Neodiprion lecontei: one gene and its partners. The protein of the gene in region 3 purifies or fractionates together with the protein of the main gene of each other region. This does not show direct contact. Links are inferred from orthologs where the notes say so. Each region holds a gene or a part of one and is shown on either strand. Other genes may lie near its edges. The genes, in order: exocyst complex component 8, exocyst complex component 3 and exocyst complex component 5.

Region 1 (11,200 bases), on a different chromosome or scaffold from region 3:
CCATCTTGGTACGTCAAGACGGTAAAAAGTACAACAAAGAAACACGACTGTCTCATTTTTAAATAAAAATATACAAATCTGGTATCAGAGGTTTAAAGAAAAACGTTGTTCAACTGTATCTTCAGAATTTGTTTACAGTTGGCTAGAAATTGCCAAAGTGTGGAATGAACTTTTACGAAACTTTGACAACTTATAACCTATGCACTGAAATTATCACAAGCGTCAAGTTCCCGGATAGATAAGACTGCGGATAGGTCAACTGTCACTTAAAATAAATATGCAAATATATAAATAAATAAATAAATAAACATACACCTGTATACTTTTTACAGAATCAGTGAACGCCTTAAAGATTGAAGTAATAAGATAAAGTGTGCTAAACGGACGTTACGTTTCGGAGTCTCGTCACATTCGTGTGACGGTCAATTGACAATGTATAATTACTTCCCGAATAACGAGAAAATGAGGTATTTTTATTTAGTGCCAAGAACTTACAGAATTGAGTAACATTTCTCACTCAGTGACTAAAATAGAAGCACCTATTTGTTCGAGACAAAATATTGAGCACACACGCCGATCACCACTTATTGTTTAAAGTAAAGTAACAGTAGATTAACGTCGCCTAATCCGTTGATTATTGGCATTTAAACTTGAATAATTAATTCGATTACGCGACGAAAACCAACGATCAACGTTCACGCGAACGTGACGATGTTTGTTCTTGTTGCTCTTTCTATCTCAGCCTTTTAAACTAAATTCAAACTGAAACTTCAACGGACATCTGATCGACCAGAACGCCATCAGTTAGCGAAATTAAAAACTGCCTGTAACGGATAATTTTTTACACTACCTTACCGACAGATTCCGACTTTGCTTTGCTTGACTTTGCGCTTGGCATTGCGCTTATGATAAGAAGAGTGCGTGACTATTACATACATTCTTCGTATCGAACAGACAAGATTAATAAATTAATAGTTAACACCGTGATTTCGGAATTGATTGATTAATTGAGAACCATGGATCTGCTTGGCTCAATTTTAAATTCAATGGATAAGCCACCGAGTGTGAGCGATAAGCAGAAAGCATTGATGAAAAGTCAGTTTCGTACATAACCCTCCTTTCTGCAAATTTTTTTTTTTTCACTCTTCAAACAAGTTACGATAACGATTAAACAATTACCACGTATAATAAGTGTACCATTTATTTAATGAAATCAATTTTACACATTTTATAGAGCAACGAGAAGAAATTGAGAAACGTCAAATAGTGGAAGCGGAAAAACTGAAGGTGTTTAGAGAAAAGGTATGACGAATGATCCTGAGTGATACAATTACGATATTCCAAAAAACACTTGACCATGATTGTAGATATTTTACTCTGTTTGTAGGTTGAAGAAAAGATAAATAAATTTCTGCAAAATGGTGCGGCTCGAGAATGTAAATTTCAACCTATGGAACAGGTCTACAGAAGCATTATGTAAATAATTTAATTTATTTCGCGCCCCAATCATTATATGTATTACACTTTGAGTAACCAAGACCACTTTTACTCTCTCAATTCAATCTTTTTTTCAAGTCTGAAAATTGTTTCCACCAAAAAATATGAAAAGCTAGAAATTAACTCTATATTGAGAAACCGTTGTTTTTCAGACACGATGTTGCAGAAGTCGCCAATGTATTAGCATATTCTTTTGGGATGGAGGGAGTCGATAGATATATAATAATATTTAAAAGGGAATATGCTCCAACCGAAGACCACTTAAATGCATTGCGTAGAGGAGAAGAATGGAATGAGGAAATAGCCAAGAGATTAAACGAGGAAAGAGAAAGACAAGCTAAAGAAGATGAGGAAGCAAACAAATCTAGGAAGAGAAAACAAGAATTTGTACCGATAACCAATTATAAAGACAAGTATAAGCATCTGATTGGAGAAGAAGCTGCCTTACAAGCAGCCAGAAAAACTGAAACTAATCGTAGTTATGGATTTGGTAAAAATTTATTCAACTATTCAAGTTACTTTGCCCAGCATCATGCTCGTGGTTCACCAACGAAAATTTTTCTTATACCACCTCGATTCTTTTTTCAGTCCCAAGTGAAAACAAAAAAGATCAGCGAAGTATTGAGGAAACTCTAGCAGATATTCGTGCGAAAAAGAAGAAGACTGAAGAACCAGCAAATCAAGCATTGGAACCAGAAGAAGAAAATGTCCCTGAATGATGTGAGCTTAGTTGAATAATTATGTTGTAGAGTGAAATTAATTGCACTGCTAAACTGTAAATAGGTAATAAGTATTTTTCTGTTCTAATATAATTAGTTATCGTACATTAGATGAATCACAATCATTCATTGGCATTGAAATACTACGGATAAACTACAGAGCTTTATTCCGTTTCTTTCAAGATGCCACATGTGATTAATCAAGTCCCGATTGCAAAGTAACCTGTGCACCAATTTTGTACAGAGATCGTCATTATCTTCTGACAATGATATTATTAATCTACATGTAGCTTGTTATTTAAACATAACACATATTAATTTATTACCTGAATCCTAAATATATTTATATGGGATGCATTCTATATTAATTTTCAATTCAATTTAACACGTGTTATGTTTAAATAAAAAATTCAATGTAGATTAATAATATGATTTACCAATTTTGTACAGAGATAGCATTATCTTCTGCGAATGATATTATTAATGTACGTTGAATTTGTTATTTAAACATAACACATGGTAAGTTATTAGCTGAATCCGAAATATATTTACATGGAATGCGCTCCATATTTATTTTAAATTCAACTTAATACGTGTTTATCGGACAAACTTTAGTACTATGCTTTAATCGATACGAAACAATATTCATTCAGCGTTAACAATTGAAAAAAGATGAGTTAGGTAATGCTGTATTAGTTTTAAATTTGTAGAATTAGTATGCGATTCAAAAAGTGCTCTAGTTATATAGAATACATGAAATAGGAGAAATGTCAGCGACAGACTGATTAGTGAATAAGAATAATTTCGTTAATTATTCATGTCCGAGAGTATGTTCTTTATTGCATAAGTTCCTTCACACGTACATGTATTGTTACTCCATAAATTCGAATATTACTAAAGTTTGCAAAAAATATGTCGTCAAGACTTTTTATACCAATTTTTCTCGTTATCCATTTGTATCTCTGGAAGTACTGATAATGCGATATAATAATAGTTCAATTTCTCGTTTCTTTCTGATAAATATAATTAGAAGAAAAACATCTTGTAGAAATGGTAGATGCGTTTTTAGCGTCGTGAAACTATTCATTACACATACAAGCATACAATACTTACCAAGACAAATAATTACAATCATTCAATATTATTAGGCGTTTTAAATTTTTATTTTACATATATATTAATATAAAATTTGACATACCTTACAAGTGAAAAATGAGTCATATATATTCTGTAGTCGAGTACTTTGTAACTGCTGTTCTTGGCGCAGGTCTAGGCTTCGTTGCGGCAACAGGTTCGAAGACAATTTGATCTTTCAACGTGACTAGTTTTGTAAATGGTCTTGCTGTCGCACTTTGGTAAAGTTCAAGTCCTCTACCAATTACAATGTCTCTGATATAAACTGCATTATCTTCCACCACTTTTCTCTGTAACAGTAAATCATATTGATTAGACATTCGTGATCAATCCTCAAGTAGTGACGATCACTAATTATTACCTCTTGTTTAAATTTTGGATTACTTAGAGATGCCAAAAGGTGTTGTACTTGAGCTCGCATTACAGATACAAGAACACTGTCTATGGTTATCATCAATTCTGGTGTATTAACGCTAAGACAATCCTCAAGTAATCCAACGTACAGTCTTGAGAATGCCAGTGTATTACTTGTCAGTGATAACCATGTTTCACTTGTCATGTAAGACAATGGAACACCAATTCCGAGATCTTCAAGCTCTGTCATAAGCTTCTGGAGGTTTTGGCTAGACTGATTGGACGGGCGCCAAGTATCCTCAGCTGCCCGAACCTTAATCGCGTCAACGTACTTTTCGCCAGCATCTTGCAGAGCTCTAGCCAATGGAGTTCTGAGATGGCCATCCAATTGGTAGCGAAGATCTATACCCAGCTGCGTCAGCTACATATGAAGTTATTGATAAGAACAAACGACTTCTGTATTCAATTTCAATAGTATATTACTGTAATTAAACGCTTAACAATTGCTGTGACCATAATTACCTGATCGCAGTGGCTCCTTACAGCCACAATGCATTCTGCAAGCGTGTTCGTAGAAACTTGTGGTATGAAAACTTGTTTAATCAAATGTGACGTTAAATGGTTGACCTCTTGACCACACCAGACTACCAGAGCTGTAAAAGATGTGATTAGAGGTTAGCTTCATTGAATTCTTCAACATACGTGATGTACTGGACAGGTTTAAATGTGATCTAGTGTATTTTACCTTACCAGAAGTGCAATTCGCAGAATTTGGGAAAATACGTAAAAACTCTCTAGCCATTTCAGCCACGTTGCTAAAGGCGATGGCGCTCAGCTGTTTGACGTAAGGTATTGTGGGGCCTTCTCTTTTAACTCGTTTCAATTGAGCTTTCAGTGCAGCATTACATAATCTTAAAAACAGTTGACAAGCTTGGACACTTTGATCCAACTGAATTAATAATCTTACAGCTCTTCTCGCACTCCTCAGGCCTCCCCCTTGAAGTGACTTTGCTTCAGAACTCAATTCCAATTCTTTGGTAAGAACGTCGACCAGAGACTGTGCTCTATCGTCAACTTTAGCCTTGATACCAACTAATACAGGCGTTGTTTGAGCTTCGCTCAGATAAGATCTTGCTTTCTCTAACAAATTGTAAGCTTCTTCAAAATGACGTTGTGCTATACAAGAATCTAGGTCCTCGGCAACTTCTAACAACCATTCGGGTAGAGATTCGGTACCCTCTGCTTCTGGACTATCTTCCGTGCCTGGTTACAATTACGATCATTAATTTTTACGTAATATCCTTACATACCGCCTAAAATGCGAAACTCTACTTACTGAAACTTACCTATTGTGTTTGAATCTAGAGACATTGAGCGAGATGGTGCTATGTGTTCATCTTTTAGATTTCTATCCTTATCAACTGATTTAGTTTGATCTTCTTGCACTAGTCTTGCTTTTTTAGCTTGTTCACATTTATCCAACCATTCTTTCTGCAAAAACGTACAAAGCATGAAAATATATTCCAAAATCTTGGAGAGTTTAATATATTCGTGTTTCAACTACAAAGTTACTATCGGACTGCGTAATAGGAAAAATAGGTCTGCTAATAACCTTGCTTGTTGCTGTCGCACACTGAAAGACCCTCGTATCAGGAAAAGCCAAGAGTTTGAAGGCTAATTTGACAGTTCCCAGATCTCTAACATTGACAACGGCTAAACTCTGCAAATCATAAACAGCTTGCATTTTATATCTGGGTGGGCCACGCCTTCCACCAGTGGCTAACCATGAGGCGATCATTAGAACGTCGTTGAATAAATAGGCGTGAATCCTTTTCAGGGGTGTTCCTTCCAATGGGTCAAGTTCAAGCAGAGATCCTTCGTGTAAACAAATCCGACCTGGTGTCTCTACCAAGCTCTGTAATAAGAAAGGTTTCAGATATCACAAGTGAAATGTTTCAGCTTAGATTTGAGTCTCTAGATTTTTTCTGATACCAAACTTCCATCAAAAATAGATACTACTAAAAATCAGCTATCAGAAAATGCGTTTCATCCAATAATATACCATAAGTTGTGGATGTAAGAAAGTGGTGAATAATCTGTCTTACATAGAAATTGTGATACAATCTTACCAAATTGATTGAAATATAGCTGACAAAATAATTCGTTTTGCATCTAATATAATAATGAACAATGATTTAATAAATTTTTTATTTTAATTTGAAACTGACCATGGCACCTTCAACATTCTCCAGTAGTTGAATCAGTTTCGATTTTTGTTCCTCTTCTTTGGTACCAGCATTATGAGATTCCCCATTTTGAGTTTCTATGTTCTCATCAAAAACAACCCCAGTCGCACCGATAGCACCAAGAGTTCCCAAAAGTGAGCGTTGTTCTCCCAGTAATTGTGACAACTGATACATTTCGCTTTCCAAGTGAGATATTTCCTTGGCTGTTTCGATAAACTGCATATAATTTTGGTAAACATTTTTTTTCAATTGTGCCGACGTGCTGTCAGCGAGTATTTGAATCTTTGCCCTCTGCTGTCTCAGCTCGTCCACGCCGACGCACTGACTGCTCAACTCTTTGACAACTGTAATAGATGAAATAAACTACACGTGAGTAGTAGAATTGATAATCGTATATTATGTAAATGCACTAAATTCTGTTAATTAACAGCACAGCAAATGAGGACCTTATTTTTAGATTCAAGTAATTTGTTAAATACGGCGGAAAGTTTTTAAATAAATAACGTATTGTATTGGTTCACTTATTGAATAGAGCATTGTTCGCATCGTTTCATTTCATGATTCTATCTCATTTGAGAACATAACCTGTATTAGCATATAAGAATATTGCTTAAAATCTATTCAAAAGTAGAAGAACTTACATTTTTCTGGATTAAAGTCATCGGAACCGAGATTTTTCATCAGGTCAGTCATGTTTGCGTGTATTCAGTATTACCTTTGATTAAATACTATAATCCGACAGACGTAAGGCTCGTCACGCCTCCCATGACGACATGACAGTTGCAATTTTATGTGCTTCTCGCTTTTGAAAGGAAGGAATTTTATTCAGTGGGATTATCAAGAAATCTTTTGACAACTACGCTACGTGTATGATAAATGTGGAATTTATTTGAAACTGAATTAAACAATCCATGAACTCGAGGTATGTACCACACTGCTTCACGAATTCCGAATGCGAGAGTTTTTAGGGATGAGTTAGGCGACATCTAATAATAAGGGGGGGGGGGGGGGGACATACAAAACCGATAGTGTCGCACTCTATCCGAAAATTTAACGGACATATCAACTGAAATACAATCTTCATATTGACTTGTCAAATATTTTAGAAAAGTTCTTTTGTTATGATGTTTGTATAATTTTTACCGAAGCCACGTCATTTCAGGGCAAATTTTCGGATCTAAGGAATGACTGCTGCCTCATGAAATCGCGAATGATCTGTTTCTGTCAAAAATATTGTAACAAGTAGTTCACTCAATTAGTACCGTACATGTATTCGTGTTTCTGACAAATCGTGCCCAACTGCACAGACGCTGGTATGTCGTACCTCTAAATTCGTATAACGAATAAATATAGAATTTATCCAGCTTGATGCAATGAATCTGATGCAGCAAACGTGTAACGATTAACAGCACTCCTTAATCCATCCGTGTGATTGACCATACACGACTTGCACGCCTAGATGCACACAATTGCATGAAAGCTATTGACAATCAGTGAGATATTCACACACGTTGAAATCACATATGACCAGTTGAAAGTAGTATGTGTGTACAGTACAAAGCCCGTGACAGTCTCTGCCTCCCACTGAAACCAAGGATGCGTATACAAATGAACAACTGTTGAAAATTAATTAAGAGGTGGCAAGTGGTGTGGCTAATTCGCGTCTTAGTTTGTTCTTTTTTTTTACAAGTACAAGTCTGTTAGTTATTTAGTTGTCCTAATCTCATGACACATTGTATTTTACTCACGCAACAAGTGGCTTGCAGCCTTACAGAGACGGCTACAAAGGCTTATTAGTAATTGGATATTACCCTGGCTTGAAGAGCTCGTAACAACAACATGAGTTCTTCGGTACCGGTTGGGAGCATGGCTGGTATGGAGACGGTTGTTGCAGTCGCCCTTGGTGCTCTTGCTGCTGTTTTTCTTGGCGCGCTTCTCGTTTTGTTAGTCATTTGTAGAAGACAACGATGCTATCATGTAAGTTTGCCATTTATACAACTTTATATACTTAGGTAAATAGCTCAGTGGTCGTAGCCTGTATTATTTTGTATCCTTATTTATAAAACGAAATTATTCACTTACTTCCAAGCTATTTGTAACGTTATACCAATGGCCTTCCAGTAGAAAAATTGAACCATTTCTGTTCATGCTCTGTACAGTTTCGATATACTTGGATGCCACATATTGCATTGCATCCTTTATTTGAATATTATTACCGATAAGCAAGATACCGCTTTCATAGCTTTCTTGGATTAGTTTCATCATCAAAGTCTTCAGCTTTGTAGGTGATCACAAAATATATTTTTTGATAACGAAACTGATGTAATATTTTCAGAAACAGAAGGATTCCCATGATTTGAATTCAGATTTGTTGGAAAGCGAAAATGGTGGAGCTCTGAGTTTGGATGCTTGGGAGGGCGAAGAATGGCTGGTTAATGCTGAGAGGTGAAACTCAGCTTTTGATAATTGGATGAATTAGACTTAGTCCTGAAGTATAATTATCTTTGATCATTTAAAGGTGGGTTGACGATGCGACTGGTTTGGCTCCACCGTGTATAGCAGTGCTAAGATCATGCCATTCCCTGGCAGCGAGTTTGACCAAAATTGCTGGAACAGTAAACAGCAACACAGTACCTCTTGAAATTGTAGACGTAAGTTGAAACCAAAGAAAAAGATAAAAAAATTTCAAACCTATACACACATATGCATAATAATTTAGATTAAAATTCAAGCTCACTATTACTCCAATTTAGGTTGCCAGACGCATACCACCAAGGGTTGATGATGTTGTACGTAGCCTCTACCCACCCCTAGATGCTCGTTTACTGGAAGCAAGAGTAGCAGCTCTAGTTTTAGCAGTCACCAACTTGGCCCTCGTTACGAAACATGGAATACCGAAAAGTCAGGCAAGGAAGTTGGCATTTATCGATCAGGCCCTCAGTGACATGGATTTACATCTCTTAGTTTTACGGGAAGCCGCACTGGCACAGGAAGCAGCTTGTGCCATCCCAGCGTCTACCTCAGTGTAAGCTTCCATAAATGTTGATCAGCAAGAGCGAGAAATTTTGTCTTGACATGGGGAATTTTTCTACCTTTAAAATGCAAGTATGGAGGGTCAAATCCTCTTGTTTATTTCACAGATTAAAATGATAACTAAAACTATGAATTCCGTTTCGTGATATTTACAGTTGATATATCAAAGCTGTGAGTCACCATTCAATTTTTGAAGCGGCATAGTTTTATCGTATGATTCGCTGCCCTCTTACACCAAGACAATATGTTTCATTTGTATATGTATTCCAAGTAATATGATTAACTTCCAAAACCTCAAAGTATTTTCAATTTTTGAAACTCCTGTTCATTGTTGATGTTTTATGAAGATATTTTGTGGTTTTTAGATTATAAAATAGACTATATTTATGTATGTCATATATTTATATAAATGCGCAATCAAATTTTTATACGATTTTACTACAATATATATATGGTGCGTTTATACGAACAATTTACGAAAGAAACTTGACAGATCTACAAAGAGAATTCTTTTTCTACTTGACCTTTGTAAATATGTTACTTTTTATCTATTCAAATGATTCTGTCAAGCTACACGACGTTTCGTGAATGATATTCGCCCAAGAAGTTTCAAGTATTGGAATCTGTAGTTAACCGAATCAACCTGATTCATTAAAAATAATCTAATATCATTTCGAGCCCGGAAATTTATCTCGCAAACACGTGGTAGATAATTTCAACTCAGCCATCAGTGCCACAGATTATAACAATATTGGAACGAAATCTATTATACGTCAATAAAAGAGTGGCTCACTATGGCTGACTAATGCATTGTTATTACTTATATATCTATATTGCTACATTGTACATCATTTTGAAGTTTGAGATATTTCTATTTAAATATGCACCTAATACTGGAATAAACCAGTATATGTTGCGGCGCAATGATTCTATTTTTGTTAATACATGCATATCAAGAAACAAGCCATACATTTACACTTGTATTCACAGATATATTTTGTATTTACTAATCCACATCAAACGACGAGTAAACAACGTAATATTTTTGAAAAAAATTTAAAAAATTCCATCTAATGTATAAAATTTGTTACTGCAATGTTAAACGAATGAAAAAGGATATTGTGAGTTTTTACTAATTACCATATTCTTTCAAGTATTTTATTAATATTCAATAATTAGATTCAAATTACAATCTCTGAGACCATAGGGATTTAATCCCAAAGGGCAACGGTTTCTGTTAATTAATCAATTAGGTCATTGTAATTAGTTATTACTGATTTATCGTTTTAAATAAATTAGCTAAGATAGCTCAAGCCATCTTCGTGCTACACAGCAGCACCAATTTAAGATGGCAGGCAAGTTTATTTTTCGGTAAAATTTCTATATAATTGGGGGTGCAATATAAAAGGAATAAAATGGTTTTCAGAATAACATCAATTATTTGCCTCTATTAGCAAATTCTTTTTGATTTTTCTGATTATCCTTCAACACCTTGGTCTTCAAGTGTTCTTTGTAATTTAAGATGCCACCTTGCCATTTTGTTACCGTCCCATTTTCACACACCCAAATTTCTTCCGCTACCTGTTGAAATAAAAAAAAAAAATAATAAAATGAGATATAATCGGAGAACCTGATTATAACAAACTATTTAATTGTCACTAAGTATAAACGCACCTGATTAATTAGTCTAAAGTCATGGGACACTAAGACCATTCCCCCATCAAAGTCGTTAATTGCATCTGCCAGAGCATCAATCGTTTCCATATCAAGATGATTGGTTGGCTCGTCAAGTAGTAGGAGATGCGGAACTTGCCAGGCGAGCCAAGCGAATACGACTCTGCAACGTTGTCCATCGGACAACTGGCGAATGGGACATACCTGTTTCAAATCATACAAGTTATTGCCAATACCCAATTAGAAAAAACGTTTGGTACCAAAAAATACACAAATAACAGTGAGTTCCAGGCGGTCGATTAAACAGTTAGAATACCTGCTGTCGCCCAGTTAATCCGTATCGACCGATTATCTTCCGCATTTCTTCGCGTTCTTTGACGTCAGGGAAAGCCTGCATCATGTAATCTAGAGGTGATAGGTCCAGATCCAATAACTCATGTAAGTGTTGGTGGTACCTGGCAATCCGGAGATGGCTGTTTTTACGAATCATGCCGCTACTGGGCACCAACTGGAAAGTTTAAATTGAATGACATGACATTTGAT
Region 2 (10,061 bases), on a different chromosome or scaffold from region 3:
CTAAAAATAAGTTTAAAATATATACATATATATATTATATATATGAATATAAGATGAAAACGAAAAGTAAATACCGCTTTAATCGCGTAGATAAATAAAACGGAGCTACTATATAATATATATTATTATATATATATCAAGATATATAATGCCTACTTTCGAACAATCGGGTTTACAAGGCGGATTCGCGTTCGATCCTAAAACCCCGGCGATTGAATTTGACGTTTTGAAACGTTATTCAATCCAGTTCTACGGCAGTTTATTATCAATTCACGTGCACTCGACTATAAGAAGAATAGATACAATAGTACATACAAATTTTAGTAAACACACGCAGTAAAAGTGCTAAAATAAACGTTAAAAAAAAAAAGAAGCAAAAATAAACTGCTGTGAGATAAGAGCTGAACGAACAAAGTTAACCATTGCTTGGGGTTCGTCATACTGTAAGGATAATAATAATTATATAAATTCGTTGTATGATGGAACAATAAAATTATTTATTACAAATAAATGAATAAACTGCGGCAAAAGATTTCAAGCAAGAAACGAGGAAACATGTCCATCTAGATGACTTTAAAATCCTTTCACACGATTCCACAGTAAAACTCGTATCGCTGCAAAACGATCGGGTGAAAACGCTTCGTATTGATAAATTTTCGTAGATTTATTGGAGAGAAAATAATCTTTATTAACTATAGTTTTCATATTTATTCATCTTCACGAACAACATGTCTTGATCTTTCAGACACGAATGGCACTGCGCCCGGTTTAGAGTGAGCCCGTCTGTTGCTTTCCCTGGAAAAATAAATCAAAAATCTTTAATTTACGTTCAAAACGAGGCAATAATATCCGCGATATCAAAAACTGACGATTTTCTCTATAATCTCATTTTTTGAAAAACAAATAACTACTGCCAAATACTTACTTCCGCTTAACTTTCTCTCGCACTGTACGAAGCTCAGCCTGAGCGTTATATATGTGCTTGGGTACGTGTCTTTTACGAGCGATTTTCCGAACTTGCGGATGACTGGCAAACTTGTCTTTCAAAGCTGCGCTGTAATTGAGGGCTGCTTTCTCTCTTGGTTTCAACTGGTGAACGCAAAGTGCAAAATTAAACAATCAGCGCAAGTAACGCTAGAGAGGAAAACGTAGAAAAAAGACTAACCACTCCAAGCTTTTCGGAAGCCCTAGACTTCCAAATTCTGATGTTCATCTCGTCACTACCACACAAAATGTACTTGTCGTCTAGTGACCACCCGACACAAGTAAGCCTTTGCATACGTTTAGTGTGATAAACGTCTCGCGAATGACCTTTAGCCACATCGAAAATTCGGATCGATTTATCATATCCTCCAGAGACAAATTCCTTACCCGTCGGGGCGTAATCTACATCTACAACTGCACCAACGTGATCCATGTGCACGTTCACAGGAGACTTCAATTTTCGCGTATCAAACGTGTAGAGGCTGAGCGAGAAAAAAAATTAAATTGTAAAAACTGGGATGCCCCGATTTATAGCCTCGAAATTTTATGTAAAAAATGAGTTTTACTTATAATCCTCGCTGGCGCAGGTAAAAACAAAAGCCTCCATCGGATTCCACGATATCTTATTGTTTCTTAGCTTCATGACTACTTTTCGCAGTGGACCAGATTCCCTCGTATCATATAAAATTGTGCTTCTGTCGCTGGCACAGGCAACTGCAATAATAAATATAATGAGATTATACTATAAATATGCCCAGATCTTAGTATAAAAATAGGATACAATCATACGTCATTTACCTAACAAGTTCGTTTGGATAGGATTGAATTTAACATCGTGTAAACTGTCCACACCCCACTTCAAAGTCCGCACAGGTTCATTTCTGGTCTCTTCCCAGATTTGACATACCTCGCCACAGGTTGCAAACACAGGGTCTTTTCGATGATGACTCAAGCCCGTTAGGACAGTCTGCAATTTGACAGTAAAACACCAAGTTGATTTAGCAGCTCTTTTTATTTACCAACACCATAACTTGCGTTTGAATATCCCGCCTAAACTCCATACTCGTCAAACTCGGTGTAGATAGCGCCAATGTTCTAGTATTTTTTTTGCGAGCGTAAAATCAAATAATATATTTGTGCCAAAACTGTCAAATAATTTTCGCGACAGTATATCTGTGCAATAATCAAAATATATTTGTTTTCCACAATTGACCCATGCTTAAAACTGTCTATTACGAAGAGAAATGAGCTACTTGACAAATAAATTCATTAAAGTAAGTGTTATTTAATTATGAAAAGTAAAGTTTTATAACTCAATTTTTCAGCCTCTGTAAAACAAGTAACTGTGGCCTCAACTACGCGAGGGTCCCAGTGAAGACCCCTATTGACAGATAACCTTCCATAAATAGCAGGTCCGTTCAGGTCACGGTCTTCTACAAAATTCTGAGCACTCAGTCTCTAAAACTCATCGGCATACAGAATGGACCGCGCGTTCCCTGCCTGAGCAATGCACAGAATATGTCCGCCGCTGTGCAAGCGAGATAAAGCATTGCAGTGTTAATCGCTGTCTCTTTCCAAGACCGCTATTGATTGAATATCCCACCGCGTAGCTGAAACAAGAACACGAATAGGCCCGTACTGCTGTCCGTCTCTTTCCATTCGGCGGACACGTTTTTGGCCCGCTCTCGCAGTCCATTCTTTATGTCGATGCTAAAACCGTGACCTAAAAATGTGCCAGGTGGCGCCGGTGAGGGGGAGGCTGGCTTTTATATATGCCTCTTTGTTGCACACCCTGCACACTCCGGCTACCGAAATTGCAGCGTTATCAACACGGTTACGCCGCGCTCTATGGCAAAAAGATCGGAGTTGATAGAAGTGCCCGCATCTGTGTAGAAGACAGTGGTTCTAGTTCACTAATTTTGATAAGACAGTTTTCCAAGTTCTTTACCAAGCACCGTTACTCTTCTATCTTAAAATTACTCAACTCCATCAAGATGGTAGAAAAGAACCTTGGCAGACCATTTGATGCTTGTAAGAGATTCAACTGTATTCCTTTCTGGGTGTGAAACTTGTTCAAAGTAGTAAAAATTGAAGTAAGCTAATAACTTTTTACTATTCCAGCCTTGATCAAGCGCATCAATTTAAATGTACCAGCCATAAATACCAGAGTTAGATATATCATTGAAAAGGCGAATAGTATTACCGAATGCAACCGTGTAGCATGGCTGATCAAAGCAGTAACATGCATAGATCTGACGACACTGGGTGGTGATGACACTTTTGCAAGTGTTGAAAGACTCACTAAGAAGGTGACATTAAATGCAGACTGTTTGGATGGATGTGATCTAACAATTTCAATATTTTCAGGCTGTTAAGCCTATCGTATTACCATTTGAATGGGAAGGCTCTCTGTCTACTGCAGCAGTTTGTGTATATCCTGCGCGTGTCGCCGATGTTGTGCAAACATTGAAAAACCTTAATGCCACGGGAAAAGTCAACGTGGCTAGCGGTAAGAAATGTCTGACTCAAAATTTCACATAAAAACAACAACGATGAGTTTACAAATGTCCAATGATGTGCATAGTTGCTACCGGATTCCCAAGCGGTCAATATCCGTTGCAAACCCGGATGGATGAAATTTCGCTCGCAGTTTCGAACGGAGCTACAGAAATAGATATTGTCATAAATCGAACGCTAGCGTTAACTCATCAGTGGGAAAAACTATACAATGAGATTAAATTAATGAAGCAAGCCTGTGGAAAAGCAAAAATGAAGACTATTTTAGCAACTGGTGAACTTTTTGACCTCAAAGATGTGTATAGAGCATCAATAATCGCAGCGATGGCTGGATCAGATTTTATAAAAACTTCTACCGGAAAAGAAACGGTAAATGCTACCTTACCTGTTGGGATTGTCATGTGCAGAGCTATTCGGGACTACCATAACTTGACTGGTTACAAGGTACGGGCAATAAGTTAGTAATTTCGTTCGAAATACTTTTGGTAACACTTGCGTATTTTCAGGTCGGATTTAAACCAGCTGGAGGTATAAAAACTTGGGGAGAAGCGCTGCAGTGGCTGGTATTGATCAAGGAAGAACTGAGCGATGTATGGCTCCATAATAGCCTGTTCAGAATCGGCGCTTCGAGTGTGCTAGGTGACATCACTAGCGAGATTAATAGGTCTTTGGATGAAGTTAAAGAGGCTAAAGTACCTACTTTATACGAGCATGAGAACTTTGATGATTCAGACAAATAAAAGTATCTTCAAAAACTTGCGTTAATTTTGTTTAATAATTTAAGAGGATTTTACAGATACGAACTCACCTTACTAACAATGGTGTTAATAGGATCCTCCTGTTCTCCCGTTATTGAACTTTCTGCCTTCCAGGTCTTTATAGTTTTGTCATCGCCGATACTCAGAAAGCTTTCCCCATCCGATGAAAATGCAATACCTCGAACTATACCGTCGTGAGCCAGAAACGAGCGCTCGCATACGCGTTGCGATAAATTCCACACTTTAATCTCTCCATCAAATGCTCCGCTCAAAAGCATCGATAACTTTAGAGGGTGCTTGGAAAGACAAGACACACTGTCTTTGTGGCCATCCAAACTCCCTATGAATGGCTTGGCGAATACTCTCTCTAGCTTGACTGCATTTAAAGCCCTTGTATACTCTCTCGCAGCCTCAAACGGATGCAGGGATGGATCGTAGTTTCTGGGAACTAGAAGAAATCAAGTATTTTAGTAAATATGTATAAAAAATGAAAGAAAAAAGATTAATTTTCTTTTTTGTCGGTTTCGCTGCAAATCCAGTGTACACAATACGGTTTATAGGTTAGAAAAACTAGGTAGAAATACGTGCAATACCTTTATGAATATCTCGTTTGGTTTCTCTCAGATATTCATCGGGATTTCTGCAGAGCACCTTGACTTTCATTTTGGTACAGGACCAGCCCTCTGTCGTAAATTATCCAATATGTAAGTCGATTGATAATTACAAAACATGTGAGAAAAACGCACTATGAAATCTAAGGGCTACTGTGCCATGTGTATGAATCTGTATGAACTATGTTTGAAAATGAAGTAACCTAGGATTGGTCGGATCTAACGGAACACACTAATGATATCGCTTTATTAGCTAAAAACTTCGCCGATCAAGAAAATTAAATGCAACATGGCTCTGGTGTGTAGATGGGGGCTCATGGGGGCGTCAGCTGTGTTATAACCTCAAAAACTGACGGCTGTCAAACGCTTACTATCAACAAACAGAGTGATTGAGGTTTAAAAATAATAATGACGAACGAGAGCGGAGAAAAAATGCTGGACCTTCGAAAATCTGAAGAGGAAGCTAAGGCAACAGCGACGAAACACATAATAAATATGCTCCAGCGTCCTGGTCAGCTGGAAAAAGTAGAACATTACAAGCGTAGGATCAGTCGGAAAAAAGCTTCGATTGAAACGAAGTTGAAAACTGCGATGCAAAGTCAATTGGACGGGGTGAGAGTCGGTTTCAATCAGCTTCAAGAGTCGCTGGAAAGTATCTCCTTGATTAAACAAGAACTGGACCTGATCGGCGAGTCATTTGGCTCCGCTCCTGAGCTGAACAACACTCTGCAGGCTGTTCAAGATGAGAACATGCGACACTCGCAGTACGTCACCGCTAAAGAGAACCTGAAACACATATTCACTGTTCCAGAAAGCGTTGAGAAGACGAAGCAATGGATAAACGAAGGAAAACTTTTACACGCCCATCAGAGTTTGATGGATTTGGAGAATTCGAGGGACGACTTGCTGTACGAACTGCACAAGCTGCCCAATCAATCACTCGCCGATAAAGTCATGCTGAAAGCGTACTTTGAAGATGTAGAAACTTTGTCGCAGTTAATGGAAAAGCAAATTAAATTGGTTGTTGGTCGCACTTTAAACACTGTCAGAAAAGAACCAACCATCATTGTTACGGCGCTGAGGATAATTGAACGGGAAGAGAAGGCGGATCAGTTTGCAATTCAAAGGCATAAGCAGAGCGGATTCATGCCTCCGGGAAGACCGAAGAATTGGAAAAAGATGGCAATTGAAGTATTGGAGAAATCTGTGGCCAACAGAGTCGAGGGAACTCATGTAGATGAACGAGCAGACAATAAAATGTGGCTGGCAAGGTATCTGGAATTGGCACGTCTCCTCATCCTCGAGGACCTAAGGGTGGTAAAAACACTGTGCGGACCTTGCTTCCCACCCTCTTACAACATAGTCAGGAAGTTTGTAGAGATGTACCATAACAGTCTATCTCAACACTTGAAAGACATAATAGCAAATGGCCTAGAGGGTAACGAATACGTATCTCTGCTTGCCTGGATAATGAACACTTATACAGGTGTAGAACTAATGCAACACCCGGAGCTGAACATCGACACCAGTGATATAGGACCTTTGCTGAGCAACGAGGTCCTGGAGGAACTGCAGGATCAATACTTGAAGAACATGCAACAGAACTATGAAGAATGGATGAAGAAGACATTGGAAACTGAAAAGGTTGACTGGTGGAGCGGAGTACTGCCAGAAGGTAGTACGCAAGAAACCTATTACCACACGGCAGCACCGGTAATCATATTTCAAATGGTGGATCAGAATCTCCAAGTAACGAAAACGATCAGCAATCAACTAACTGCCAGAGCGCTTGTCCTTTGTATAGACCAAGTTGTGAGATACTGTGCGGCGTATCGTCAGGCCATACTTGAGTTCAAAAGCAAACATTTCGAGGATCGGAGCAGAGTTCCTTACTTCACTCACCACATGATCACCATTGTAAACAATTGCCTTCAGTTTATTGAACTCGCTCAGCAAATGAAACAACTTTACTGGGTTTCCAATGCCAGCGGTGATGCTGCTGTCAGGTTTGAGGCTCTCCTGGCCAATTACCAACAGCTGAGAGATGAGGCGGCGACCATTTTATTGGAGGAGTCGTTCCTAGACTTGGAACTCCACTTCCAAGATCTCCTCACCCCAAAATGGCTCTCCTCGCCGATACCCGTAGAAACGATCTGCGTAACCTTGGAGGACTATTTTCAGGACTATAATCACCTTAGAGTAAAGAATTTTGAATATGTCATTACAGAGGCTCAAAATCTGATAGCTAAACGATATATAGCAGCTATGCTGCAGCGAAAGATATCGCTAAAGACGTACGACGAATGTCTCACTTGCACATCAAAAATTATGACAGAGGCTGATAAGATAAAGAATTTTTTCGTCAGAATTGCACCCAAAGTGGGCAACTTTGATTCGCCTTTCGAAGTAATAAAAAGACTGGCCGAAGTACTGCGTTGCGAGGATTCTGAAATTTTATCTTTGGATCTACATTCACTCGTTGAAAAATACCCTGACATGACCGAAGATCATCTCGTACGATTGTTGAGTCTCCGAGGAGACATACCGAGAGCTACAGCTAGGGAAAAAGTAGCGTACATATACGAAGCTCAACGTAATCGAACAGCTCCACAGCCCATGCCTAATAGTATATTTAAGCAAATTGTCATCCAGGATAGTTTCTTAAATTGGAAACCCTGAGTACTGTAAATAAATAATTTTTCGTCTTGTATAGAAATTTGTCTAGTTATTAAAAATGGGAAAGGTTTTTCGGTTCACTTCTATATCCCACTCCACAGAGCTAGCTGTACGGGCATTTCTGTCAGAAATTGTGCTCTGCATGTTCAGCCAATAAGTATACATTCAGCAATGTCGGCAAAATTTTCTTCAATCAAACGTGTTATCATTTGTAGCTGACGTCACAATTCGAAACGTCTTAATTCTATTCTGAAAAAAAAATTACACTCGAATATAGAAGGTTCGTTGTTTTTCAGTTTGAAAAAAAAACAGTCGTCTGACAGTTGCGCACAGCCACGCGTTTGGCGAGAACACGAAAGTGTGATCTAACCTCAAAAACCCACGTCAATAGTGGCTTGAGCCTCACAGGCATCACTGAATCAAAGATCTTCTCCTCGAATGAACAATAATTAATAAGAAAGTGAACTATTGAATCAATCGTGCTGTCAAAAAACATTTCTCTACGATGGCATCGACGAGAGAGAGACGTTCCAATGCTGGGAATAAAATGGCAAGATTACTCAACGAAGAAGAAGAGGATGATTTCTATAAAACTACATACGGAGGGTTCGAAGAAGTCGAGCAGGATAACGATTACATGTTAGTTAGATGAGAATTTCAATTGACAAACATTCTGTTTAATATTTCCATAAAATTAGTATTTCACTCACAGAATAATACTTCATTGTAATGTTGTTGAATACTCAGGGAAGAGGACGAAGGCGAGGATGAAGTGGACTCAGATTTTAGTATAGACGAAAATGACGAGCCTGTTTCCGATCCCGAACAAGAAGGACCCAAAAAAAAACGACGCCTTGTTACAAAGGCATACAAAGAGCCTAAACCTACCTCAGCACACTCACATTCTACTCCTAAAGAGAAAAAGACTAAGACACCCAGGCAACGTCGAACTTCTATTGACAATTCAGGTATATCAGGAAATATCAATGGCGATAAACGTGATCATAGCCATTCGATCAGCAGTATTTATAGCCTCATGCCAAACTACTATCCCCGTTTCGTTTTAAAGAGAGAAAATCCATTCGTCGTTCTACTGCTGCAAAGTCGGCAGCGACCCAAAGACGACTCAAAGAGAGAAATGAGGATCTGAAGAGAAAAGTTAAGACTGTAAAGTACGACGTTTGGAAGCCAACGCAGGAAGAACTGTTGGAGGAAGCCCTCATCACGGAGGAAGTAAATTTAAAATCATTAGGTAATGAATAATACTGCTGGCAAGTAAAAAGACATGATTGTCTGTGCCGATGGATGGTTATTCAACTCATACTTTTAACATGTTTTGACAGAAAAATACCAAAAGTTAGAGAACGAGAAGAAAAACACGAGGACAGTGCGAAAGACAAATGTTGGCCCCATTATACGTTACCAATCTTTGTCTATGCCTGTTTTGATGCTGTCTGAAACACAAGCTGACAAAGATGAGGAAAAAATTAACGTCGAAGCTGACGATGAAAAAAATACCACTAATACAACCAGTGATATTCTAGAACCTGGATTATCACCTCCCTTGTCTGAAAAACAGTGAGACTTAAATTGGTCGTTATTTGTGTAAAGCCTTTTGCAATATGCAGACCGCAATAAAAAACAAAAACGTCCATAACTGCCGTAGTTCTAACTACTTTCAAAATTATTTTTCAGAGAAATAATGGATCAACAAAAAACTATTGACGGCGGTAACAAAGATACACCTATTAAACAGAAGGGAGAATCGAGCTCAGCTCCTAATGAAGCTGAAAGTCAAATCATTCATGAAGATACAGGTTCTAAATACGAAAGAACTTTCATCACATTTGAAAACGAACGACTTTTTACGGAAGCTTTCAAACGTACACCTGCTCCTCGCCCCTCACTAAAATCTCTTTGTGCAATTACAAGGTAAGTTACGGCCTTTCGACATTGATGTATTACTCCTGAAGGTGATTACTTTGAAATAATCAGGTACTAATACACTATATTTTCTGAATGATTTTAGACTTCCTGCACGGTATATGGATCCAGTGACACAGCTACCGTACAGAAATATACAAATGTTTAGAATATTAAGAGAGGCGTATTATCAACAGCTGGAATCTCGTGCAGAGACAAACGATGCTACTCAAAACCTTGAATTGGTACGGTGGCTTGAATGGCGTCAGAAAAATCGTCGCAATAATAACAGAAATACGATTCGTCTGGAACCCGCTTCAGTGTCGCAGGCATCTTAGCTGATCCTTCTGGTCAATCGCTATTCCTTGTAGCATTGAACAGTCTTTTGTCACATCATTTGACATGACACTGGATAATTATTTTATCAAATGCCTGCTTCAGTATTTTCATACGAAAATGAGAATGAAAATCGAAAAAATCGAAGCAATTTACACCACTTTCCCTTTCGAAAATATGGAAATTGCTTCTACTCTGTTGGGTAGATGACTTCCTTCGAGGGATTTTAAGAATTGGGATTGGATTAAAAAATATC
Region 3 (11,907 bases):
TCATGGGTTCTGTAGTCTTGCTCCGTCAATCTCATGTCTTTCTCATCTGCCGAAGCCATCTGTAATGAGGTATTGGATTGTAATATCGCATGTCGTGTACATAGTTTCCACCATATCTTTGGGTCGATTTCAGGTCTGTTAAAGATTGGAGGAATTTTATTGGATCGAAACAAAATGAAATAAATTATAATAACAATAAACTCAACAACAATATTAACATGTCAACTATGAAGGAATATTACCGCTCGACTTTATCTGGTTGGTACACGCGATAGAATTTTAACCAAGCAAATAAATTATAACAACCATAAACCTAACGACAATGCTAACACGTTATCTGCGAAGGATTACTATCGCTAGACCTTACCTTTAGGCGTTTGCGGTTAAACTGCTCGCTAAGCCTCTTTAGACCCGATTTGTCTCTCGGGTCATCCGCGATACACGCACAAGGTGACACGTCCTTTGGACCCAAGAGCGAACACAAAAACATACACGCTCGAATTCGCAACATCCAAAGTACCTGTAACAGGTCCGGCCACAGAGTTCCAAACGAAGATTATAAATCTCTGAGTTCATCCAAGGACATGAAGGCGGTTTTTTCTTTTAATTCTTATTCAATGTCAGTTAACTCGGTATGTTTATCATTTAATTTCTACCTTAGTTCAGCAGTCTCTAAATCAAAGTCGTACTTTTCTTGTCTCGGAACATAAAAACTTCCGTTAAAGAGGATCTAATTTTACTCCATAAACGAGTAATAACGAGAGCCCGTATAGCCTCGCAAACTTACTTCACTTACTTTAGAATACTTAGCCTCTGAAGAGTAGAAGCTGGATTGAAGCTGGCAATTCACTTTTCCAACATCTTTGCTAATAGTTTTCACGGAATCAGTTCCCTTTCTAAATCAGAGATTTGAAGTTGGCGTGATTTTAATCTTCCAATTAATGCTTCGACTTCAGCTGATCATAAGTAATTGATTATCAATCTGCCTTACTGCAAAAAATTTTTACTTCCTGGGTGTAATACCAAGTTCATAATTAACAAAATACAAACGATTTTAGCAATTCTTTAACTTCTTACAACGGCAGCAGCAAACTCAGCTTTTTTCCCTATAAGAACGCCAGTTTTATAAATTCCTCGTCGCATCAATTCAATTCATGATAAAGCTTTGCTTCAAACACCTCATCCTTTGTAGACATTACCATTTCTAGTTACGACACTTTTGCCCTCTGTGAATACAATGAAAATTCAATGAAATTATGTAATCTTTAAATATGCAGATTTTAGCTGGCCAATTGATCTGAAACAATGATTTCACGCGTATTATACGTATATGTCCGTTTCGTTTCTTATACCAGCAATTCAATCAATCCTCAAGTTGGTTTCTGATTTTTTTTTCCACAACTTTTTCATTCTTGGGACTCTGAACTTTTTTTTATTCCCCCCCCCCCCAACATAGCCTGCACATTTGGCTTACCGATATTTTCTTTGTTTGGCTCCGTTAAATTTATCGGAATGCTGTAAACGACGTAGAAAAGGTATTTACAGCTTTACATATTACCGTTCAAAAGTTTGCAATAACGGACTGTACAACGTTCCGTGATTTTGAACTGTGATTCATTCATCATCTTCCCAGCATTCGATTCGCCGATCAATTGTTGATTTTCCCTCATTAAATCTTGGATCCGATCCTAAATTTCCACGTTCAATTTCCAATTCAATGACGTTTCACGGTTCAAGTTAGTCAAATTTACCTGCGCATTGTGAAGTTCTTACTGCAAGGTACTAGTCTGATTGAACAGAGCTTGATAGTGTTGCATTTGTTCGTTTATTTATTTATTTACGCATAAAAATGGTTACATAATATAAAGTTTAATCTGATTATTTTAATCCGCTCTGCAATTTAAGCCACACGTCATTCTTTCCCTGTATGCCTAAAAAGGACCAATTCGTCACTCTCCAATTGCTCTCTTAATTTCCTTATGAAACGGAATTCTTCTACATCATCCGTCAATTTATCGAACGGTTCGATCTGTAATGAAAGAATTGTTCTCACATACTCTGCTTCTTTGTCCCAGTAGTAAATAATTATTCTAAATTAACTCACAAGATTGGCGGCCTCTTCTTCCAATAAACGTAGTTCATTTTTCGCTAGGTCAAATGCTGAGGTTACATCGGTCATCGCAACTTGGGCCTTCTTTCTTACTCGCGATTTTGGATTGTGCACTTTGATTTCTGAAGCCTAGACGGAAGAAAACGAAGTAAAATATACAATGTTCTTATAGGGGGCTGATGTTATTCAGTCAGAAAGTTAAATCACCATGATACGAAGCTTTACTTGAAGAATATCACGTTCTACAGTGAGTTGACCAATACTTTTCATTAACTCAGCAAGTAACGGTTTACCCGTCAAGGTATCAGGAGATGGAGGCTCAGGTATTGCTATTGGTTTTCTATTTCGACATTTTGGATCTTGAACATTCAGCTTCCCAATCTGCCCTTCGATTAGCTTGAGCTAGAAATTAATAAATAAATAAATAAAATATAGCAGTAAAATATGTGCATTAATCTACATTTTAATTTGAATGTAATTTAAGAACAGCGATCATAATTGCAAATTCGTGTTGGCTCACCTGCTCAGTCAGAGTGATCATTCTGCTGTCCATTCTTTGACACATTTCTTCTGTAGCAGGCCTACCAAATCCGTCAACTTTACTGCTGCTAGCTTCGAGAGCTTCCTTCATTTCTTCATTCCAATAATCATCCATTTCGACGGTTACGTCATCTTGCTCGCTGATACTTTGTTCTTTTTGTTTTGCAGAAGTTATCTGTAATTAGGTATTAGATTGTAATATCGCATGTCGTGCACATAGTTTCCACCATATCCTTCAGTCAATTTTAGGTCTGTTAGACTTTAGAGAATTTCGTTGGAACAAAACGAAACAGGTAATAAATTGTAATAACAATTAACTCAACCACAATATTAATATGTTTGCTTGTTAATTTAAATCTAATTTAAGAACAGCGATCAAAGTTGCGAATTCGTGTTGGCTCACCTTCTCAATCGGAGTGGTTATGTTGGTGTCCAGTTGTTGAAGATTTTGTTCAGGCGACTTACCAGCTCCGTCAACTTTACTGCTGCTAGCTTCAAGAGCTTCCTTCATTGCTTCATTCCAATACTCATCCATTTCGACGGTTACGTAATCTTGCTCGCTGATACTTTGTTCTTTTTGTTTTGCAGAAGTTATCTGTAATTAGGTATTAGATTGTAATATCGCATGTCGTGCACATAGTTTCCACCATATCCTTCAGTCAATTTTAGGTCTGTTAGACTTTAGAGAATTTCGTTGGAACAAAAACGAAACAGGTAATAAATTATAATAACAATTAACTCAACCACAATATTAATATGTTTGCTTGTTAATTTAAATCTAATTTAAGAACAGTGATCAAAGTTGCGAATTCGTGTTGGCTCACCTTCTCAATCGGAGTGGTTATGTTGGTGTCCAGTTGTTGAAGATTTTGTTCAGGCGACTTACCAGCTCCGTCAACTTTACTGCTGCCAGCTTCGGGAGCTTCTTTTGCTTCTTTCGAATGCTCATCAATTTCGGCGGCTGCGTCATCTTGCGCGCTGATACTTTGTACTTTTTGTTTTGCAGAAGCCATCTGTAATTAGGTATTGGATTGTAATATCGCATGTCGTGCACATAGTTTCCACCATATCTTTGGGTCAATTTCAGGTCTGTTAAAGATTGGAGGAATTTTATTGGATCGAAACAAAATGAAATAAATTATAATAACAATAAACTCAACAACAATATTAACATGTCAACTATGAAGGAATATTACCGCACGACTTTATCTGGCTGGTACACACGATAGCATTTTAGTCAAGCAAATAAATTATAACAACCATAAACCTAACGACAATGCTAACACGTTATCTGCGAAGGATTACTATCGCTAGACCTTACCTTTAGGCGTTTGCGGTTAAACTGCTCGCTAATCCTCTTTAGACCCGATTTGTCTCTCGGGTCATCCGCGATACACACACAAGGTGACACGTCCTTTGGACCCAAGAGCGAACACAAAAACATACACGCTCGAATTCGCAACATCCAAAGTACCTGTAACAGGTCCGGCCACAGAGTTCCAAACGGAGATTATAATTTAGAGAGAGATGGAAGTTGGGGTGATTTTAATTTTCCATTCAATGCTTCGACTTCAGCTGATCAAAAGTAATTGATTACCAATCTACCGTACTACATCAAATTTTTGCTTTCTAGGTATAATATCAAGTTCCTAATCAACAAAATATAAACAATTTTAGCAATTTTTTAACTTTGTACAAGGGCAGCAGCAAACTCAGCTTTTTTCCCTACAAGAACGCCAGTTTTATAAATTGCTCATTGGGTGGATTTAATTTGTTTCATTCAGAAGAATTATTTCAACACTTATACACGTGTTTTGGTAATCCTTCATTAATGTTACAATTCATGCGGCGTCTTGTTTCTTTTTTCTTACTTTCAAATTTGAATCTTTTCTTCGCGCTTCACGGTATACGATTGGTAGAACTGGTTTCTGTAGAATCGAGCCCTTCCCCAATTTCTGAATTAATCGAATCATGATCGAATCAAGCATCTGTCAACCTCTTACTTCGTGCTATCAACACGCCCCACGCAAGGCGACAGATCGCTTAGCAGTTTGATGACGCCGATATTATCGTCAACACATTCGGCAAAAACAACGAAAAGATGATGCAACAATACATGAAGGAGCTGGAGCAGGCAAGTACTAATTCCCATGTGAAAACTGAATTTCTCGTCGAATTCCCGAAGGGATATCAAAAATTCAAACCATCATAACCTAGTAAAAAAATATAACACTCAGATGCGTTAGATGATTTTTAACAAATTTTTTTACTAGTACGTCAGTTCTCCATTCGAACGTATTACCAGATTTCAATATTCCTGTATAATTCCAGTTTATACTTTCTCTCTACTCTGTCTAGAAACTTATTCTCCATAAATAGTAATTTCACTAACTATGCCTACTTCACACTTGCAAACCGTGCAATGATTCTTGTTAATCTCATGTAGAAAAGGGTTTATACCTGTCGACTATAAATAAATAAATAAATAAAACATTCTCCATTCTTTCCACTTTCTATTTCAGGAGCCGTTCGATTCCGAGGAATTTGTGGAGCGCCTGGCTTGGAGAACTGTTAATGACACGTTTAAAGACGGTGGAGACAAGAGCTCCTTTGATCCAGTGCTGGTCCACGAGACGTTTCTGCAGGCAATTAAGGATTTGAGGGTGCTACAGGAGCGACAACAGAAAAAATGCGACAGGCTGGAGGCGGCATGCAAGGAGGAGGAGATTAGGCACGCGCTAGAGATCCTCGAACTCCAGGAGAAGAACAAATACGCCATGAAGTTGTTCCATCAGCTTGACGAGAGAATCAACTTTGTCGCCACGAAGGTGCTGCACCTGGGTGACCAGCTCGAGAGCGTCAACACTCCGAGAGCACGCGCCGTCGAAGCCCAAAAGTTGATGAGACACTTTGCAGAGTTTCTGAGTCCCGGGCCTTTAACGGACCCAGTTTTCACCGACAAATCGTCGGTGCGTAGAAAACGAGGCTTTCCGGAGTCGTTTAACTTTTCATTATCGATTGCTTCTGATTTCCCAGCTTGACGAGGCAGCGGACGTGATACAAAAACTACATTTGATAGCACAAGAGCTTCCATCCGACAAGTTTGACGGCGCCAAAAAGAAGATCAGCGCTAAGTACGACGAGATTGAGCGGAGCTTGATAGAGGAGTTTGCCAGGGCTCACAGCGGAGAAGACGCCACACGGATGAAGGAGCTGGCCTCGATCCTGTCTCACTTCAAGGGCTATTCGCAGTGTGTCGACGCGTTCATCGAGCACAGCCAAATGGGTTCGTTCGGCGGCAAGGATGTTTTTCAGGATGTCATACCGATGTGCACCAAGAACTACAAACTGATGCAGCAGGTATTCGCTAACCCGACTCAAGTTATGGCCAAATTTGTCCTCAACATTTACCATCTCAGGCTGCAAAAATACGTTGTGGCGAAGCTTACCGATCGTACGGACTCCGACAAGTATCTGAAGAATCTTTATGACCTCTACTCAAAGACGATCAAACTATCCAACGATCTGAAGCGGTTTGATATGGGAACAGACGAGGCTTACCTCGCCAAACTCACCAGGAATATCTTTCAGAAACATCTCGATTCCTACATAAGGTAACACAGGCTCAGCCGCCCACTCCGTGTCCTGTTTTTGCGCTTCATTGGCGGTAGACCAACAAAGAATTATATTTCCTTGATTTCAGTATCGAGACCAAGTCTCTCCGTGAGAAGTCTGCATCCCTGTTGATCAAGTACTACGAGTCTAAGAATCACCAGAAAAAGCAACTGCAAACCGGGGGCTTCCAGGAGCTGAGGAGAGACTTGCAAGCCGTAATCGGCACTAGAACGAACATCAATATAGCCCAGATTGAAGATTACGGCGGTGAGACCTTCCTCTCCGAGGAGTTGGCCATCGCTCTACTCCAGGAGAGCAAACTGGCTTTTCAACGGTGCCAGATCCTCTCACAATCAAGCGACTTACCTGTAAACGCTCTGCAGATACTAGAAATCCTGCTACAGTATCTCACCAGCGAACACGTTGACTATGCTCTGGAATTGGGACTCCAAAGTGTCCCCATACCTGAGAGCGGATGTCAACCTGAAATCCACTTCTTCAACGTAGTCAGACGGTGCAACGCCATCATTCATCTGCTCGAAAAGCAATTCAACGACAGCCTCGTACCGCTAGTCATGTATGCAATTGTTTCATTTCAAATAGAGATCCGTCATTAATACTTTTTTGAAAACCTGGATACCTGATGTACAGAAAAGTTTACATTGGTTCTGACTTACAAGGAATTCTCGTTAGCAGTTGAAATATCTTACGTTTAAATTATTCTAAAGAAATGACCCCGTACTAATCATCTCACGTCTCATAGATCAACGTCAAAGCATGGGGATTGCCTGGCGAAGAAGAAAGCCGTCTTGGAGCAGCTGGAATTGAAACTGGACACGGGTTTGGACCGAAGTATAAACGCGATAGTTGGCTGGGTGAAAATTTACTTGCAGAATGAGCAGCGCAAGACAGACTTCAAGCCGGAATCGGACGTCGATACGTTGAACACCCCTGCCTGTTTAGTTGTGGTTCAATACGTTTCGACGATGATAACTCACATAAGAGACAGACTGGACGAAAAGAACGTCGAAAGTGTTCTCACAGAATTGGGGGTCAGATTCCACAGGGTGATATATGAACACTTGCAGCAGTTTCAGTTCAATTCTGCCGGCGCAATGTGCGCCATTTGTGACATGAATGCTTACAGAGAGTGTGCTAAAAATCTCAAAGTCAGCCTAGTCACGAATCTCTTTGACACATTGCACGCTCTCTGCAATTTGCTCCTCGTCAAGCCTGAGAATTTGAAGCAGGTCTGCACTGGGGATCAATTGGTAAGTTTTAAGTTACGACACATCGATTTCTGGCTTCTATAAAAGCATCGGTGATGTTTGTAATATCATATCGAACTGCAAATCCTATTTTTTTTGCAGGCCATGCTCGACAGGTCCATATTGATAAATTTTATACAGCTCAGGACAGACTACAAGACTCAGAAGTTGGCAAATTGTTTGAAAGGCCTTGCTGCCTAGATGGTAGAATTCAACAGAGAGAAGCGATCAATCAGTTTTCACAGCTTGCGCAAAGAACGACTGATCATCTCGATCTTGGTTTTAAGAGGAATACGAAAACGATTGAGGTATAACGATAATATTTTGTAAATAATAATCGTAATATTTAATACATATATATTATTATATATATACATATATGTATTATAGTATGTGTATATATATATATAATTATATATATATACCTTTCCAAGCGGAAAGTTGTGTAGGAAACAAACTGTAAATAACTAAAGCTCAGTGTATATTGAGACACAATTTCATTTCGAATATAATTTTCCCTTCATTTTTTCTTCAGTCACTTGAAACAAACAATCAAAGGGCAAAGAAATAACGAAAATTCGCGATATTCATAGCAAATGTATTAATTTTATTGTTACATACATAATTATATAATCACGTTGCAATGGAACCCTGGCATATTATGGGACTCAAAGAAATGGGATGAGAGTGGGGAAAGAAGTTTGTTTTTCGTGTTCCGTTTTCCGTTTTCACATCAATCTAACAAACAGTAATGATTCCTTATAAAAATTATACATAGTATAATATATACAGCTGCACTGTGACTTGGCAGTCTGTCGGCATGATTAGAAATACGTTTGCCTGCTGGTTTGACAATTACCTGGTCTAGTTAGCAACCTAGTAGAAAACCGATTTTACCTGACTAGAATTATCAATTCAGACAAAGAAGATTCTCCGTTGTTACAATTATTATGTGAATCGAAATCAATAATAGAACAATAATCGATAGCCTAGTCCCTGTGTCGATAAATCATTTACTTCCACGTTCGATGATGTGAATTGGTCATTGTTTTTGAAATATTGGCTAATATTTCATTATCGCTTAGATTTGAATTATAACCTATTCGGAGCATATACTATTTTTCATCGGTCATTGAAGTCGAACAACAAAAATAATGTTAAAAATAGGAGCTTCAAAAACTCCGAATTGTTAGTCTACATTTCAATTCCTATACTTCCAAGTAAATATGTAATTTTATTGGTACTAGGAAAAAAAATGTATGAACAAAAACAATAGCATGGCAAAAGGATGCTGTTGCGGGTAGAAACATCCTTGCCATTAATCGAGAATACCATTTGTCTGACAAAAGCGAGTTAAAATCAAGAAAAAACTAAAAAGAAGAATATTTGATGTAAGAACCTGTGAGCCAAATATGTTATAATTAAGATAACTTACAGGGGATTAGTATTAATTGTATAGGAAAATTCATCTTTGTGATGTTTGGTTAATTTGTCCCTCTTCAAGGAAGATCAATGTAAAGTATGGTAATTTTTTAATTTTTTTTTTAATTTTTATTATTTCTTCTAATTTCTCCTAAATAAAAATGGAATCCCATTTTTCCACAACGGATTATCGCGAACATCCAAGCTTCTCCTTTTGACCCACGGCTCGGGTCAGGTCGTAATTTTTGTCGTTATCGGACCAGAGTGGCACGGCTGAGTGAGCCACGAGAATTGGCCGAAAGGCGGACTTAATATCTAATAGAGAATGCGGAAGTAGCTAGATCAATTTTCGTATTTTCTCTTTATACGCCAAGTGTGAATCAGCGCATGCGGTACGTATTAGTTTCGTGCACCTCGCACAATTCACCCTTGAAGTCAAGTTCGATGCTGAAGTCGAGGTCTCGATTATTTCTCGCGTTGGGCTTCATTGAGAACACTCCATATATTTCCTCCCCTTTTTTCACAGTCATGTAATCGTCAAAGTAAAATACAGTCTGTTTCCAGTGCGTGTACTGCGCCTCAGGCGCCGTACTGAATCCTATGCGTTTGTGGCACTTGGTAAACTCTATGTTGAAGAATGTGACCAGAGCCTGGACGTAGTCGTTCCTTCTCACCTGTAGATTGAACGGCGACGTGAAATCCAGGTCCGCCTTTGTTACCGTGTACAGATCGACCTCTTTTATCAGGCAAGCATTCGTCACAACCTGTTTTGGGTCGACAACGTCCACCAGCGGCTCGCTTATCGCAACTTTCCTGATACTGCTCATGTCAAATCCGTAGACGTCGTCCCACCAGTTTATCTTCTCGTCCTTATACTGGCGGTCCTCGATGCCGCATATGAAAAGTGTCGCCTTGTCCGGAAACAGCATTCCGTCTTCACACAGCCACTTATCTCGGGCAAACAGGACCGTGTCCAGCATCGATTCGTAGAACAAGCAGTAGCCCATCCATTCGGATATTATTATGTCTACCTTCTCAATACCATCCGGCAGAGTCACTTCCTCCACTTTTCCCTTCAGGATCGTTATCACATTCGAGAGCTGGTTCGCCTCCACGATCTTCTTTGCGTACTCGACTATGTTCGAGCACTCAATGCCGATGACGCGAGCCGCCCCTGCCTTGGCTGCGAACATCGACAGGATACCTGTGCCGCAGCCTATGTCCAGTACCGTTTTACCCTTGAACAGGTGCTTGTTGTGGTACATACTGTTTCTGTACGTCATTGTCCTTATCTCATCCTTCAGCATCTCTTCATGAATCCCAAAGTGTGCATACGAGTCGAAGTAGTAGTCTCGCGAGGTCATATCGTCCACTGACACTGCCTCCTTGTCATTTGGCGTCGCTGCGTCCTTTCCCAATGGCACCACTGGCTCAGCTACTTCCATGGTTTCCATCTTAAGTGTCTATAAATGAGAAATTTTATTTATTTATAATTAACAGGTGTAAATCCTTTAATACACGACAATAAGTACACTTTAGAATCCATTGCATAGTAGCAGGTTTTTGTGCAGATATGGTTTGAATCTAAAATTACACATCTCAAATAATCTATGATACTTTTTCTTTGGACGAAATGCGCAAATGACTTTTTTAGGATACCACTTAGGATGGGTATAATGATTGATAGTAATCTTAGAAATATGTTTCTCGATTAAATCAAAAATGGAACAATGTAATGATTCAACATGGCGATTTGAGAGTAGATCAGATACATCAACTTGACTGGGCACCTCGGCAATAAAGTTGTTCGGCTCAGCAAGTTGTTACTAGTGGTAAGAAGCATGATATCGAGAAGCAAGTGAAAGGCATCACAATAAAAAATTGAATCATGAGAAATATTGCAAGAAGAATTTGATAAGTTAGAGAATATAAGATTGAACACATTGCCTCTCGAGATCAAGATATTGTTGTTGTTGCTGAGACTAAAAGAATGAAAAAAATCAAAGGGCAAAGAAAGCAGCACTGCGAATTTCAACATTGACAAAATTCCCCAACGTCTATACATTTTTCAAACAAAAATACATACACTCTGTATATGATTTTAGATGTGAATTGAAAGAATATCGATACATTAAACATTACAGATCTCAGAACAAATTCAAATTTTCTTTTCAGGTCTGCCGTAATCCCGAAGCTAGATAAACAGATGAAAATGCAAAATACTAGTTAACGAACGATTTTAGAAATAATTCACTAATACTCAAATGCGTAAAAAATTTAACTGTATGAATTCTGGTCTGATGGTAAATTTTACAAAACACGAGGCGAAGGTTGTTTGGTTAGAAAACTTAAGAAGCCGGTGGCCGCGACTGTTTCGTGTAAAGTTTGAATTACGGCGCTTGTGAGATATCGGATAAAATTTGGATATTCTTGGACACGTGTCGATTTTACTTACGATAGAGTTCATGTGCGTTAAACTAATCTACGAAAGGTTGTCGGCTGTTTGATTGACCAACTATTTAGCCCGGTTACAGCGCGACGCGGTATAACTCGCGATGATCGTGGAAACAAAATGAAAGCCTGCGTCCGTGACGGCGGCGTTCGACTCGTGAAAACGTCCACGTGCACGCGCCAAAATAAATGGCGTCTAAATTACCGCATTGTCAGGCGTGAAAATTGCGGCCATTATGATGTGCGGCTTTCGGGGCGTGATTGGGAAAATCTGTAATATCGAAAAGAGCGCCAGGCATTTGTACATTCTTTGTATTTTAGTCGGCGTAGTGAAATCGGTCGACTTGGCGGCGCATAGTTTTAGTCTGCTTTACCGTCCGACGAAACTACGACGATGACGACGAACCGAATTTTCTTATACCAAAATTGCACCATCGGAAACACGATTTCAGGGAATATTCTTTGAACGAATATCCGTAGACCTTGCACAATGTCGCGAAT

The links.
Region 1: the proteins of exocyst complex component 5 (region 3) and exocyst complex component 8 purify together in Homo sapiens (affinity purification with mass spectrometry; 5 studies listed by BioGRID and IntAct, counting the BioPlex papers as one, with this or other methods). This does not show direct contact. The link is inferred for Neodiprion lecontei from reciprocal best matches to the Homo sapiens genes EXOC5 and EXOC8.
Region 2: the proteins of exocyst complex component 5 (region 3) and exocyst complex component 3 purify together in Homo sapiens (affinity purification with mass spectrometry; 7 studies listed by BioGRID and IntAct, counting the BioPlex papers as one, with this or other methods). This does not show direct contact. The link is inferred for Neodiprion lecontei from reciprocal best matches to the Homo sapiens genes EXOC5 and EXOC3.

What each region holds. Positions count from the first base shown.
Region 1 is NC_060263.1:37,097,480-37,108,679, reverse strand, and holds exocyst complex component 8, read right to left. Parts: upstream 6,733-11,200; 5' UTR 6,644-6,732; coding exon 6,592-6,643; intron 6,314-6,591; coding exon of another isoform or gene 6,295-6,313; coding exon 5,933-6,294; intron 5,620-5,932; coding exon 5,317-5,619; intron 5,196-5,316; coding exon 5,051-5,195; intron 4,968-5,050; coding exon 4,455-4,967; intron 4,358-4,454; coding exon 4,227-4,357; intron 4,126-4,226; coding exon 3,712-4,125; intron 3,641-3,711; coding exon 3,434-3,640; 3' UTR 3,358-3,433; downstream 1-3,357. Other genes in the region: protein brambleberry, read right to left, coding at 1-56; sperm-associated antigen 7 homolog, read left to right, coding at 1,017-1,095, 1,235-1,302, 1,388-1,476, 1,650-1,987, 2,086-2,216; transmembrane protein 98, read left to right, coding at 7,790-7,927, 8,286-8,395, 8,469-8,601, 8,704-8,975, 9,091-9,100; ATP-binding cassette sub-family F member 2, read right to left, coding at 10,421-10,564, 10,658-10,861, 10,974-11,165. UniProt on the Homo sapiens protein: Component of the exocyst complex involved in the docking of exocytic vesicles with fusion sites on the plasma membrane.
Region 2 is NC_060260.1:912,619-922,679, forward strand, and holds exocyst complex component 3, read left to right. Parts: upstream 1-5,173; 5' UTR 5,174-5,278; coding exon 5,279-7,549; 3' UTR 7,550-7,586; downstream 7,587-10,061. Other genes in the region: DDB1- and CUL4-associated factor 13, read right to left, coding at 708-795, 926-1,089, 1,166-1,466, 1,551-1,698, 1,783-1,951, 4,310-4,707, 4,853-4,922; deoxyribose-phosphate aldolase, read left to right, coding at 2,757-3,015, 3,106-3,293, 3,352-3,493, 3,569-3,945, 4,008-4,241; vacuolar protein sorting-associated protein 72 homolog, read left to right, coding at 8,052-8,185, 8,294-8,514, 8,616-8,798, 8,890-9,124, 9,242-9,478, 9,576-9,807. UniProt on the Homo sapiens protein: Component of the exocyst complex involved in the docking of exocytic vesicles with fusion sites on the plasma membrane.
Region 3 is NC_060266.1:861,411-873,317, reverse strand, and holds exocyst complex component 5, read left to right. Parts: upstream 1-4,638; 5' UTR 4,639-4,751; coding exon 4,752-4,784; intron 4,785-5,172; coding exon 5,173-5,619; intron 5,620-5,686; coding exon 5,687-6,264; intron 6,265-6,353; coding exon 6,354-6,842; intron 6,843-7,028; coding exon 7,029-7,536; intron 7,537-7,635; coding exon 7,636-7,734; 3' UTR 7,735-8,670; downstream 8,671-11,907. Other genes in the region: uncharacterized protein LOC107219461, read right to left, coding at 1-59, 368-520, 797-896, 992-1,032; uncharacterized protein LOC107219467, read right to left, coding at 1,913-2,029, 2,105-2,239, 2,318-2,512, 2,631-2,825, 3,054-3,245, 3,475-3,663, 3,972-4,124, 4,522-4,638; protein arginine N-methyltransferase 1, read right to left, coding at 9,336-10,418. UniProt on the Homo sapiens protein: Component of the exocyst complex involved in the docking of exocytic vesicles with fusion sites on the plasma membrane.